3 linked regions of the Cricetulus griseus genome follow. The protein of the gene in region 1 binds, or shares a complex with, the protein of each later gene. Links are inferred from orthologs where the notes say so. Each region holds a gene or a part of one and is shown in the gene's direction. Other genes may lie near its edges.

Region 1 (4,470 bases):
CTCTGAAAAGCTCATTCTCTTGGCTATGTCTTTCTTTCTGAGACCCTCACTGCCTCTTAACCATAGAATTTAGAATCTATATGAAAATCTCTTTTAATAAATTCCAATTCCATTTCATATTTTATCACGCTGAGATGAAGCAAAGTCAAGAGTCAGGTTTTCTCTGAATCCAGCTCCCTCTCCTCAGGTGGCTGGTGGCAACTTGGAGGAGCACCACATCCCTGTTGACAACCCCCTCTTTTCCACTTTGGGAAGACGCTAAGGACAACCCTGAGTCTACTCAGATTATCAAAGATAATATCCCTGCTTAAGGTCAGTTGATTAGCAACTTGAACTCCATCTGTAAGCTGAATTCTCTTTTCCCATGACCTAACATACATTTCCCAGGAATTATTGGGTGAATATTCCTCTGTGTGTTTAGAGGGTGGGGTGAGAGGGGGCAGAGGAACATAGCAGAGCCCAGCCTGGGCTACACAGTGATTTCAAAGCCATTCTGGGTTACAGAGGGGAGTGAGACTGCCTCAAACAACAATAAGAACAAAACAACTATGAGGAGACGTTATAGCAAATCACTTGAGTCTTAACATTGACATTCGCTAAAATGGAAGTTGCTGTCCTCTGTGTTAAATTTATTTAACCTGGCTTAGCTTGGAGGCCAGCAGATAAGACTCAAGGTCTTGATGGATCTTTATGAGGATGGTGGGTGACGTTCTCTTAATGACATTTGGAGATAGTGTAAGAGATTTCTGAAGAGAAGTGCTTATCCTTAACTGAAGCGTAAGGTAGAAAATTCCAGCAAAAGGAATCAAGAAACAAGCTTCCTTCAAGGCTAAAATGAAGTAAGAGTTTAATGTCCTGGTCTCCATGTAGCAGACACTACTGAACTGAAGAGATTCATTGGTGAATCTTTATAGGTAAATACTATATGTATTATATCCAAAAGCAGATACAATTATTCTGTCATTCAATGTGAATTAAGAATAAATATAATAACAAAAGACTAAAGAAACAGGTTCCACCGAGATTTGAACTCGGATCGCTGGATTCAGAGTCCAGAGTGCTAACCATTACACCATGGAACCAGCACAGAAGCAGCACTATCTTTGGGAGTCTAATGGTAACAAAACCCCGCCCCCACCCCCCCCTCGACCGGAAACAAACACTATGCCTCTCTTCCCTGCATGGTTAAGGAAAGAACAAGCCAAAGGCCCGTAGGACTGTATCTAGCTGGGCATTTTAAGACTGTTCCATGTAAGCCTTCCGAAGCCGGCCGAGAGTGCGGAGTCCACTCCCGTGCACACATCAGGGGCGGGGCGCCACTTCTCCGGAAGTCCTTCCTGTGAGGGACTGGGGCCTGACGGAAGTGACGCAGAGGCAGGGCGGGGCTCTTCACCGGGTCCGGCAGCTGAAGCTCGGCGCTCGGGTTACCCCTGCAGCGACGCCCCCTGGTCCCGCCGCTGTCGCCTCCGCCGCTCCCGCCCCTCAGCTCCTCGGCCGCGCCATGGGCACCCGTGACGACGAGTACGACTACCTCTTTAAAGGTGAGTGCTTGGGCCGCCGAGTGCCTGTTCGGGCCCGAGACACTCCCGGGGGACCCGCGCGAGGGCTAGAGCCCTGCCCTGGACGGAGCCCGCCTCAGCTTCCTCCCTGCTGCCCCGACGGGGGTCCCGCCGGCCGGCGCAGTTCCTGCGCCTCGGGGAGGGCTGCCGGGCCGCGTCGCCCCTCACTGTGTGTCTTCCCCGATGGCTGCGTTCCTCACGGTCTGGCAGTTTCTTCCCTGGGCATCTCGGGCCCCTCCTCTTGGATGCACGCTGCCGGCCTCACATCCCCCTCTGACAGGCCCCTGCCTAGGCTCAGCACCCATTTTGGGGCACCGACTCTACGGGGTTTTTGCTTGTTTATTTGTTTGTTTGTTGTCTTTTTTCCTTTTCATTTCCTTTCGTTTCCCCTCCCTCCGAGTGAGCCTTTCCTGGGCTTCGGCCAGATTCGCCCATCCCAGGGCCCCCACCCCCATCCCTGCAGACCTCGAGGTCAGTATCCGCGGACTGACCTCTCCCTCCCCGCAGATGGGCAACTCTGTGCCTTTCCTTTTCACCTAACGTTCAGAGCTGCGGTGCGACCTGGCTGGTGGGAGGGGAGACCAAGGGAGGGCAAGAGGGCCTGTCCATCACCCCTGGCGTGCGTGCACTTGTCGCAGTGTCCAGGCAGGCAGATGACTTCCCACCTCGCCTTTTTAACCCCCTTCCTTCTCGTGTCCCTGCTCAGCTACAACCAGACCCAGATAACTCCTTTACTTGGCTTTCGTGAAGGGGCTGCGGATGGGTGGTGGCTGTTATCCCTGCCAGACCTGAAGGCCCAGTTCCTGGACAGGAAAGGTTGTGCGCTGCACAAATACTAGCTAGCTTATCACTATGGACTGGTTGCTTCCTGCTGCAATACTGGGAGGATCCAACAGGAAGGGAAGAGCCCTGGTTGGTCACATACCTTTCCCCAACGGTGGGAGAGGGTTATAGTGGTGGCGTGCTCTTTTAGTGAAATTAAGAATTTATTGCAAGGTAGGGGAAAATGCGAAGCGGGTGGACAGACATGGGAGGATGGGGAGTAGATAGAGAATTGCTTATTGGTTGAGTCCGGAAAGAAGCCAAAGTGAAAGGATACAGTTCCCAGCGAAAAGAGAGTACAGTGAACGCTTTTTTTGTTGTTGTTCATGAATGCGCTCTCACTTTCGTAGTCTTGCTCTGCTCCTGATTTAGAAGGGCAGCCATCAGTAGTGTGCTGAACAAAGATCATTACCAGAGAGGAAGAAGCTTTGCTATTAAAGCTTTACTGTGGAGGGTGGAGTTTCAAGAGTGTGAAGCATGGTGTTTCTGGCTTTGCCATTGGGTGCTAAGAGTGACTGACGAAATGATGAAGCAGGATACACTTCTTTTGCGATACCATATACTTTTACAAGTCTTGGTGTATTAGCTGCTGGTACACCCTTATCATTATTTAGCCCCCGGGATAGTCTGTTTATATGGTAAGTTAGTAAGGTACCAAACTTTAAAAATACAAATAGGAAAACCTGGTGTGCTGTAGTTAGCCTTTAAAATTCCAGCATTCAGGAGGCAGAGGGAGGTTGATCGTGTGGGTTCCCAGCCAGAGTTACATAGTGAGACCCTGTCTCAAAAAATCAAAACCAAACCCAAAACAAATTGGAGACCTAGAATGCTGAAGGCATCTGAGATGATGTGAAATTACTTAAATCCCAGGAGCATTTGGGGTTGGTTTACTTAAGTACTTCGTAATGACAGTGAGTACCTAGTCTCTTTCGAAGTTATTTCTATTTGATTTGGAATGTGAAGGTTGGCTATAGAAAGCTGTTTATTTTTCCTAGGAGTGTTAATTTATCCTAGATTGTGGAGAAAACACTAGGGCTTTATATTTGCCTGTGACTTTGGAAAAGTTAACTTTTCAAAAGTAATTTTTTTATTTTTTGAAATTATAATTATTTCCCCCCTGCTCAACTTTTTTTAAGCCTCAGTTTCCTCAGTAAAGGAAATCCTGTGATACCTTTTTGAGGAATAAGTGAGATTGTAAAATTTAGCTCTTGTGAAGATTCAGTAAATGATATAAATGAAATTGTTACAATTCTTGTTAGTTCTTGAGCCATAAATCTTTTTAAATGTTTAAAAACGACATTTATTGATGTGTGTGATAATGTGCACATGGCACGTGAGGAGGTGAGAGAACACCTTTTGGGGAGTCGGTTACTTTCTTCCACTGTGTCAGTCTCAGGGGTGGAACTCAGGTCATCAGGCTTGATGGGAAGCACCGTTACCCACTGAGCCATCTCACTAAACAATCAATCTTTATGTTAAAGAACATGTAAGTTTTATAAAGAAGCACAGAAGAACTAAGAAACTTCTGAATTATTTTGTATCTCTGTGGGTTCTGGTTTTATTTTTTATTTTTTTGTCGTATAAGACTGGATGTTTAAAAAATTTGCCAGGCATTGGTGGCACATGCCTTTAATCCCAGCACTTGGGAGGCAGAGGCAGGTGGATCTCTGTGAGTTCAAGGCCAGCCTGGTCTCCAGAGCGACTGCCAGGATAGGCTCCAAAGCTACACCGAGAAACCCTGACTCGAAACCCACCCCCCCCAAAAAAAAAATCTGCTGAGAAGAGTTTCCACTTTTTAGAAACTGCTACAGGATATGAGTCACTTTATTTTTTATTTCAACACTGATTACTTAGCCAATTTTTTACTTATACAATTATTTTAAAATGATTTCATTCCAGAGAGATTTATTCTAAGATGAACCAAAGCATTTCTACTTTGGAGAAGGCTAACTTAGCACACTGCATAGTTAAGGAAATTGGAGTTTGTAACATTTAGCATGAAGGGGTATGTTTATCACATGGAGTGGAGTAGTGTGAGTGGGGATGTGATATGGACAGGTAAGGACAGTTCTAAATCATGTATTTGTTC
Region 2 (4,564 bases), on another chromosome or scaffold:
CTGGTTCCAGAGGATCCCATGTTCTCTCTGGTCCTGTGTAGGAATCTGCAGACATCTGATACACATAAACTCAGGCAAATACACATACACACACATAAAAGAAGACAAGTTTCTTGAAAATATGTATTGTTACAGTTTTCCTACAGGTTAGTAGTAAGAACGCATGACAAGAGAAGGTTTGCATACTCCATGGTTTTGGACCCTCTCTAGTACAACAATGTGGTGGACTTTAGGGGAGGGTTGCTGTTTGGTTTTTATAATTTTTTTAAATTACAATTATGTCATTTTCCCCTTCCCTTTTCTCCCTCTAACTCATCCCATGCCCCCACCCCAGCTCTCTCTCAAATTCATGGTCTCTTTAGTTATTGGACTATATATATGAATATATATGTGTGTATACACACACATATTCCTTAATACACAAATACAATCTGCTCCACCTATAATGTTACCTGTATGTATATAATCTCTGGGCTGACCACTTGGTATTAGATAAGCAGTTTGGGGCTCTTCTCTCGGGAAGACCACTTCTCTTTTCCTTTGGAAGATTGCATGGCTCTTTCTGGTACCATGAAAGGTAGTCCTCCAGGAGGTGGCTTTAAGTCAATCCTAGCTCCAGTCCTCTGGGTCTTGCATCTGAAGGGCATGATGTCTTCAGCAATAAGGACTTACTTTCCATCTCTGGGGGCAGGAAAGGGGAATCTCTTGGACAACCCTGACCAACAACTCAAAAGGGGAGTCTCATGCTTGGGAGTTTTTGTTAGTCTATGGCCCTTGGAGGAAGTGTTGTCAGTCCACATGAGAAGATTGCATTTCAATTGTATATGTGTATGTGTACACAGAATATATATATATATATGTATATATATATATACATATATATATAATCTCTCTGCCTAAATTATGATATATAATTTTAGGCAGGGAGATAACAGTATGCTTCTTTATAACTTTTTCATACATTATTACTGTATTTATCTTTCCATTTTGCCCCTTTCCCTCTTCAGGTCAACTGTACCCTGCTACTCCCCTCTGTTGCTCTCCTCCTGCACTTTCGTGGTTGCTGCACTTGCTCCAGGCTTTATACTCACATCGTTTTAACTGAGAGCAAATATTTCATGCATGCACTCTGTCTGGCTGTATAGCATTTGCGTCACTCCTGGAGATGTCTCCTTCAAATCCCTTTCCTCTCCACAGCCCCATCACACCTGGCTACCCTCCCCTTCTCAAGTCCCTTGCTAGTTACTGTGGCGTCTCTCCCTTTCCAGTCTGTGGGTCTGCTTTCTTATTGTTTATTTTGTGCTGGTGATACTTTGTGCATATTTCAGAGACCATGCCTTACCTTAAGTCATGTGGGCAAGTGAGGGTGGCAGTGTTTGCAAAGCTAGAATGCAAAGTTGGTGTATCATTAAATCACCCTTGAACGTGCTGTAAATTGCCCATTGTGTGTGCTAAGTATGATGTTGGGTGAGTGTCCCTGTTGAGTAATTTGTAGGAGCTTCAAGTGGAGAACCCATAGAGGATAAATGTAAGAGGCCAGAGGCACGGGGAAGCCAGCCTGTAGATGCAGCCACCCTGCATTCAGAACAGAGGAGAAATGTCACACAGGTTGTTATTGGAGGGAGACTGGGAAGATTTATGATAGCATGTGGCACGGACTGGCACAGGCTACTCGCCAAGTGTTTACTGGATTTTGGTCTGAGGTTTGTCCAGTAAGATCTGAATCTGCAATGCCTTCCTAAAGCCACATTAGAACGAAGCTGCCTGGTTCTTCTTTCTCAGCCAGATATATCTTCCCTGCCCTCCTTGTCTCTTCTGCATGGACTGAGTAGCCATTATCCACCCTGACCCCCAACACACACACACACACACTTAGGAGTTGTCCCATCACTCCTTCAACTATATTTTGATGAGTATCACCTGCCCTACTAGGTAGGTTCCTGAAGTTTGGGCAGTTGATTTCCATGTCTGTACTGGATTATGTGGTGCTCAGGGCAATATATTTTAGGTAAAACCAGGCTCCCCTATAAGATGCATTCCATTTTTAATCACTGAGCACACCTGCTAGATGTGCTGAATCCTAAGGATTCAAAGTAATGTGTCTAGAAGATCTTGCAATCATGAAATGAGACTCACTTGAAAGAAATGACTGTGAAGCCAGAAAGGAAGCTAATCAGACAGATTTACTATGGTCTCAAAGGCTAACTTTTTTGATGATAGTAGTCAATAAAAAGGTGATGATAGTCAGTGAAAAGGTGATCATAGTAGTCAGTGAAAATGTGTGGTTGAGGATGTTTACATCATGGTGGGCCACAGAGTCAGAAGACAGTGGCTGGATCAGAGCAAGGGATGAAGGCAGGTATAACCATCACAACCCCCCCCCACAAGTCCACTAGTGTCATGATTTCAGCTAGGCCAAACATCCTAAAGGGTCAGGGCCTCCTGGATTAGCAGGTCCAGGGTCCAAAATCATTTAGAGCATGAGGAGATATTTTGGATTTATACCATTAACAGTGGGTGCCTTTGACTTGTTGGCCACTTCCACTGAATGTAGACTGTGAAGTCTTGCTGTGCTTCCCTGTGTTTGACCAGTATTATTTTACTAATTATAACATGCTCCATCCTTCTGTTTTGTGTCTCCTTTTAAAAGGGTGGTAAGCCTGTGTTGAGCTGTCTCCTGAAAGAATTTTAATGTGACTATCACGTTTTCTTAAGACTGAGAGGGTGCTGTTGTAAACTAGTCCTATGAACTATTTATTATTTATAATATTGAATCATCTTGTGTCTTTAGTGGGACTCATGGTATATGGATGTTGCTGTAGAATATTTTCCTGACAACTCCTTTATAGATGCTGACACATGCTTTGGATGCTTTGCTTTGTGTCTAAGTCTCTTTTCTTCTCATCTTTCAGTACACAAGGGTCTGGATCCCTGACCCAGATGAAGTGTGGCGCTCAGCTGAATTAACCAAGGACTACAAAGAGGGGGATAAAAGCCTGCAGCTCAGACTGGAAGATGACACAGTAAGTGCTGGTCCTTAGGGTGGGCGCCCAAAATATATGGACTTAGATTTGCCTGCCCGTTGGTGTTTCTGAATTCCAAATTCTTCTGTCATTGTTAATGATAGTGTATGTGAAAAGTGACAAACCATGAGTCTGCCCACTCATGTTAGCAAGTGGAGTTTGACTGGTAGCTGAGACAAGAGTCTTTATGTTGGAGTGAAGAGAACAAGTCTGCTGTGTTGAGGCATCAGCAAGAGGGAACAATCCCTGGGAACAGAACAGGTGGTGGGAGCCTGGGCTCAGGGTACCTTTGGCCAACAGTGGGTAATGTTAATGCAGGATCTACGTGTGCCCAGTGCCCGAGACCCCAGTGTTGCATGTGCACAAGGGAAGGAAGGCAGACCAGTGATCCTGGGACCCAGGAGGCCTGAGGCTGAGGTGACAGACAGCCATTTTACAAAGGGTACACACAGGGAGCCTGGTTTTAAACAAAGTGGTGGGATGACATGAAGAACTGGCTTTAAGACAGACAGATGGCTAAATGGATGGGCTGCAGAGCAGGATAGAGTGAATGAAAGGTTTGTGTTGAAATCCAGGGCCTGGAATGTCTATATTGTGTCCTTTGCCTGTGAATTATTAACTGTCTTGGTGTTGTTCATTCTTCGAAGTATTTTGTTCTGTTTCCCACTCCAAATGCTTGGTTGAGCAACCTGTTGATTGAACATTCTCCAACCACCAACCCGTGCTGTATGAATTCGAGTGTGTCACTTTGAGTATGGCACTGGGGCAGGTGAATTCAGGTTGGTTAGCATGTCCTTCTCCCTCTAGCTGACAGGCTTTGCTAGTCATATCTTGGCTTTGAGGGAAGAAACAAAACTGTCAGCAGATGGAATCTTGTTTACCATTTTGAATAACTTCCCACCCTGCCCCTGAAACAAAATGAATTTAGTCCACCCGCTTGAATAGAGTGGATTCTACTCCAACAGATTTCATTTCAGTTGGTCTTTTCATGTGGGTGGGTGTTGTTAAAAGCTGTATGGAGGAAGCAAGGGCTGATCTGTCATGTTGCTAAAACAGCAGATACTTGTGTCCTTGACTGCACACAGCTTTGGCCCTGAACGACAAATCTTGGAAGCTGCCCATGGCCCATCTTTTCCTATCCGGCTATGAGACTGGTCACGGTGGAACTGGAAGAAAGCCCCGGGCTGGAGATCAGCATAGGCTCTGAGCATACAAGTCTCTCTCTCTATTGCCTGTGGCTTACGGCTGGCATAAAGCTGGCCCCAAAAGTGACTGGGCACTGTCCACTGGAGGTAGGGACACAGGCACTGCATGGCTGGAGGCTGAGTGCTTGAAGAGCAGTTCTTCTGAAGCTGAAGCCATCCTGTACTACCATCCTGACCTCCCAGCCCCCAAAGTAAAATGCTGTTGGTTTTAGTGCAGAAGCAAATGCAAAGAGGGTAGGCCAGATTTTTTGCTAGGAAATCCAACCCCAGGCTGATAGCAGGAATGCCTACTTCACTGCCAACAGCCGCCTCTGATGAGGTATTCAGGCCTCTCAC
Region 3 (4,020 bases), on another chromosome or scaffold:
AGCCTGTTTAGCCTTAGGTCTCATTATAGGTCTAGAGGCAACTGTTGGCCAGCCATGAGGGACATCAGTACTGTGCTATCTGGCATTTCCTTCAGACAAAGTCATTGCTGGTTTAGCAGACAATGAAGGATTAATTTCCTCAGTCAAAGGCAGAATAGGCCATATTTCAGAGTGTTGGGTGGGAGTACTTCTTCTGCTGAGGTGGAGAGAATACTGCCTCAAGTGAGATAAACCCTTGAGAGCCTGAGGGTTCAATGTCCTCAGCTCCAATAGGGTCTTCCCACACATCCCCTTCCCAAGTTACCCAATCTCACTCTTTTTTTTTTTTTAAAGATTTTATTTATTTATTATGTATACAACATTCTGCTTCCAAATATATCTGCACACTAGAAGAGGGCACCAGATCTCATAACGGATGGTTGTGAGCCACCATGTGGTTGCTGGGAATTGAACTCAGGACCTTTGCAAGAGCAGTTGGTGCTCTTAACCTCTGAGCCATCTCTCCAGCCCCCAATCTCACTCTTAATGTCATTAATTAATGTTGTTACTTTAACTGCTGACACCCTCCTGGGCTGGGACTGACAGATGTACTCTGCTGCTTGGGTTTTAGTTCATGTCCGATGTAGTCAGCTAACAAACAAAAATAGCCATCACACCAACTATTCAAATACATGAGTCCTTTAAGGCCATTCTCATTTTTAATTCCACAGAGCGGTAACTCCCCCATGGGCTTGGCTTGTGTACATTGCCGCAGCCTGACCTGGAGCCTCACTGTGGTCATGTCCCTTTGTCAAGGACCAGTCTGAGTCTAGTAAGGGTGGCAGCAGCAACCCTAACATGGTTCCTCCTGTACCTGCCAGGCATCTGTGCCTGGCCTTGCCTTCCCCTGCACCTCATCTCACCCTGTCTTCCAGCTCCAACTTCTTCGTACTCAATTCACTTGCCTGTACACCTGCCTTTCTTCACACTGTACTGGTATGATATCCACTAAGGTTTCCCTAGCCACCTAATCTCCTCTTTACTCTGCCTTGCATTCACCTGTGCCTGCTTTGTCTTAGTATCCTACCTGGTCTCCTCCTCACAATGCCGTGGCTCCTCCTATTTCTGCTAGGCCTCTTCTCTGCCATGCTTCATCTCTCACTGCTCCCAGCCTTACCTTTGCTCTCCCACTTCTCAGAATCCTCAGAGTCTTATGTTGTATTCTGAGGCTAAATCCTTCCTCTGCTTGTCTCCATCCTTCCTCGTAGTACATTCTCCCATGAAGGAGGAAAAGACTGAGACATGGACCTTTCTATCTGTACTGTCTTCAGACATCTGTGCCACCTCTGTGTGTTTTTTATCTGGCATTTGAATCTCACAAGGGAATGTGTGTCTGGGTGAGCCTCATGGTTCCAAGCACAAGCCAGAAGGTACTCTTGGTACCCTTTAGGGCTTGTATTTTCCAATGACATTTGCCTTGTTCTGTTGCGTCAAGTGTGACCCTGTGGGAGCCGCACTGCTGTGGGTTTATAAGATGTCTGTAAGGATGAGCATGGCTCCACTCGGCAGGTGGTATGGGAATCCCCATGCTGACATGCAGATGTTCCATTGGGGGCACAGCTTCTACTTTTCTGCTTGTTCCTCAAACCTTTATCTCTCTGCCTAGGTCATCTTCCTGGAGAGACGGGTGTCAGAGCTGGAGAAGGATAGTGCAGCTGCTGGGGAGCAGCATGGCAGACTGAGGCAAGAGAACCTCCAGCTGGTGCACAGGTGAGTGTGCTTGTGGCCTGGCACTGCCTGGAGCCATCACAGTATCACTCTTGCCCTGTGTATTCTCTTCCTCACCAAGCAGGATCTGCAGAGAACTAGCTCCTACCTGGCCATCCATCCATTCAGGTACTGGATGAGTGCCAGATATGGCCAGAGGTCTATGGCAGGTTCATCTGAGACTTTGACCTGAATACTCTTACCCTGGCAGATATCTGCCACAATATTATAGACAGTAGGGTTCCAGAAAAGTGAGCAAGGGTACTACTTGACTCAATGCATGTGAGATAGTTCTGTCCATCACAAGCAGTTGGGGAGGTACAGCTTAAAATGGAGAGCTGGGCATTGTGATGCATATGCACAATCCAAACACTTGGGGAGTGTAGGAGGGTCTCGAGTTCAAGGTTATTCTTGGGTATATAGTGTGTCCAAGATCAGCCTAGACTATATGAAATGGTATCAGAAATGGTACCAGCCAGTAAAGTGTTTGTCTTGGCAAACATGGAGACCTGGATTTTATCCCCAAATCCCATGTAAATGCTAGGCATGAGGACACACAGTTGTAATCCCAGAATTAGAGAGGTAGAAACAAGAGAACCCTTGGGCTTTGCTGGCCAGCCAGTGTAGCCTAATCGGGCTTCAAAGGAAGTGGACAGTGTTCCTGAGGATGACACCACATGCATTGACAACACACACGTGCTCATGCACTTGCATACACACACCGAGATTTTAAAATTTTTAAAACAAGGTGTTGGAGAGATGGCCTAGCAGCTAAGAGGATCCACGCTTGTTTCCCAGCACTCACACGGCAGCTTGCACCTCTCTGTAAATCCAGTTCCAGGGAATCCACCGCCTCGTCTGGCCTCCACAGACACTGCACACATGTGGTGCACAGACATACATGAAGGCAAAACACCCAGATAAAATAAAAATAAAACAAATCTTTCAAAAATTAAACAATAAATAAATCATGTGGGGAGGGGCTCAGTAGTGGAGCATGTGCTGTATGAGGCTGAGTTCCAGACAGACCCTCAAAGTTGGAGGGCGTCGCTGCACCCAGAGCCTTGAGGCCGCTTTTCTGGTTTGTTTTTTGTTTTGTTTTGTTTTGTTTTTTCAGAACAGGCTTTCTCTGTGTAACTTTGGCTATCCTAGAACTCACTTTGTAGACCAGGCTGGAGTCAAACTCACAGAGATCCACCTGCCTCTGCCTCCTGAGTGCTGGGATTAAAGGCTACAGGTCAGTTTTCTGAAGCACTTGGTACTCTTTGTGGAACTGACCCAGGGTCCATGTGCAGCCAGTTCATAGAATGGGAGCCTCTGATGACTCTGTTTCTGAGAACCTGCCCCAGGGAAAACATTCCAGCCGTGGCATTGGCCCTGTGTTGAGGCTCTTGCTCCCCTCATTTATCCTTCAGTAACTGTGGGAGGCAGACACTTTCTCTGTTTTCCAGATGAGAAAATGGAGTTAGTGCAGCTTACATGGTTGTCCAGGGCCTCAGAGGACAGCAGGGCTGTGGGGCTGAGGACAGAGCTCTGTCCTGGAGGAACAGGTAAGGAAGATCTTGTGCAGGGGCATGGCCTCTGCAGACCTCAGCATTTTCAAGCTGCTTAACCAAAAAGCAAATTGAACAGGAAGGCAAGTGGCATGATCTCCTCACATGGGCAAGGTGAAATGTGGCAGAGTTGCTGTCTGCATAGAGCAAAAGAAAAGAGGGGGGTTTTGAGAAAGAAATAAAGGTCATTTCAAATTCTTTAAAAAAAAAAAAAAGAAAAGAAAAGAGGCAGGAATGTGGTGAGTTCCAAGGGAGCCTGGACCACAGTGACATAAAAAACAAGGGGAGGGGGGCCAGAAATGAAAAGAAACCAAGGGGATGGAGATGTGGCATTTGCTCCTCTTGCAGAGGACTTGAGTTCAGTTTCTAGCACCTGCGTAGCAGCTCACAACTCTACAACTCCAGCTCCTCATGGGCATAAACTCACACGTGGCACACTTACATACATGGAAGCAAAACACACATGCACATAAACTAAAAATAAATCTTTTAGAAAGAACTGATAAGGAGCCATGTCTGGGGTCGTGTAATCCCAGCACTTAGGAGGTGGAGGCGAGGGGATCAGGAGCCCTTGGAGATGTGTTCTGAATGTGGCTGACCTTCCTAGGAAGGAGCCTGTGCTGCTGTTCTTTGTATTCCCTGGATGTCTCCATGTGGCTGTCAGGTTTCTGTGCTGAGCATTGACTTTCAGTCTTTAACTCTGAGAAGTGTGTGTGTGTGT

The links.
Region 2: the proteins of Rab11a (region 1) and Myo5b are in contact, whole or in part, in a crystal structure (PDB 4LX0), measured with the Homo sapiens proteins. The link is inferred for Cricetulus griseus from reciprocal best matches to the Homo sapiens genes RAB11A and MYO5B. Residues at the interface, in NP_004654.1 of Homo sapiens: Leu11, Lys13, Arg33, Glu35, Ile44, Gly45, Val46, Glu47, Phe48, Ala49, Thr50, Gln63, Trp65, Glu71, Arg72, Tyr73, Arg74, Ala75, Ile76, Thr77, Ala79, Tyr80, Arg82, Gly83; in NP_001073936.1 of Homo sapiens: Ile1627, Gln1628, Gly1629, Leu1630, Trp1706, Met1710, Arg1713, Tyr1714, Ser1717, Gln1718, Glu1721, Arg1724, Gln1745, Leu1747, Gln1748, Leu1749, Lys1750, Lys1751, Glu1755, Ala1759, Leu1763, Tyr1779, Glu1786.
Region 3: the proteins of Rab11a (region 1) and Rab11fip3 are in contact, whole or in part, in a crystal structure (PDB 2HV8), measured with the Homo sapiens proteins. The link is inferred for Cricetulus griseus from reciprocal best matches to the Homo sapiens genes RAB11A and RAB11FIP3. Residues at the interface, in NP_004654.1 of Homo sapiens: Arg33, Ile44, Gly45, Val46, Glu47, Phe48, Ala49, Thr50, Trp65, Arg72, Arg74, Ala75, Ile76, Ala79, Tyr80, Arg82; in NP_055515.1 of Homo sapiens: Asn731, Phe732, Gln735, Ile738, Asp739, Arg740, Ile742, Val743, Met746, Glu747, Pro750, Ser751, Leu753, Glu754, Val755, Lys756.

What each region holds. Positions count from the first base shown.
Region 1 is NC_048597.1:176,352,253-176,356,722, reverse strand, and holds the start of Rab11a (ras-related protein Rab-11A), read left to right. Parts: upstream 1-1,380; 5' UTR 1,381-1,501; coding exon 1,502-1,541; intron 1,542-4,470. UniProt on the Homo sapiens protein: The small GTPases Rab are key regulators of intracellular membrane trafficking, from the formation of transport vesicles to their fusion with membranes.
Region 2 is NC_048595.1:165,305,297-165,309,860, reverse strand, and holds the start of Myo5b (unconventional myosin-Vb), read left to right. Parts: upstream 1-1,457; coding exon 1,458-1,467; intron 1,468-2,889; coding exon 2,890-3,023; intron 3,024-4,564. UniProt on the Homo sapiens protein: May be involved in vesicular trafficking via its association with the CART complex. The CART complex is necessary for efficient transferrin receptor recycling but not for EGFR degradation.
Region 3 is NC_048600.1:45,614,735-45,618,754, reverse strand, and holds part of Rab11fip3 (rab11 family-interacting protein 3), read left to right. Parts: intron 1-1,645; coding exon 1,646-1,749; intron 1,750-4,020. UniProt on the Homo sapiens protein: Downstream effector molecule for Rab11 GTPase which is involved in endocytic trafficking, cytokinesis and intracellular ciliogenesis by participating in membrane delivery. Recruited by Rab11 to endosomes where it links Rab11 to dynein motor complex.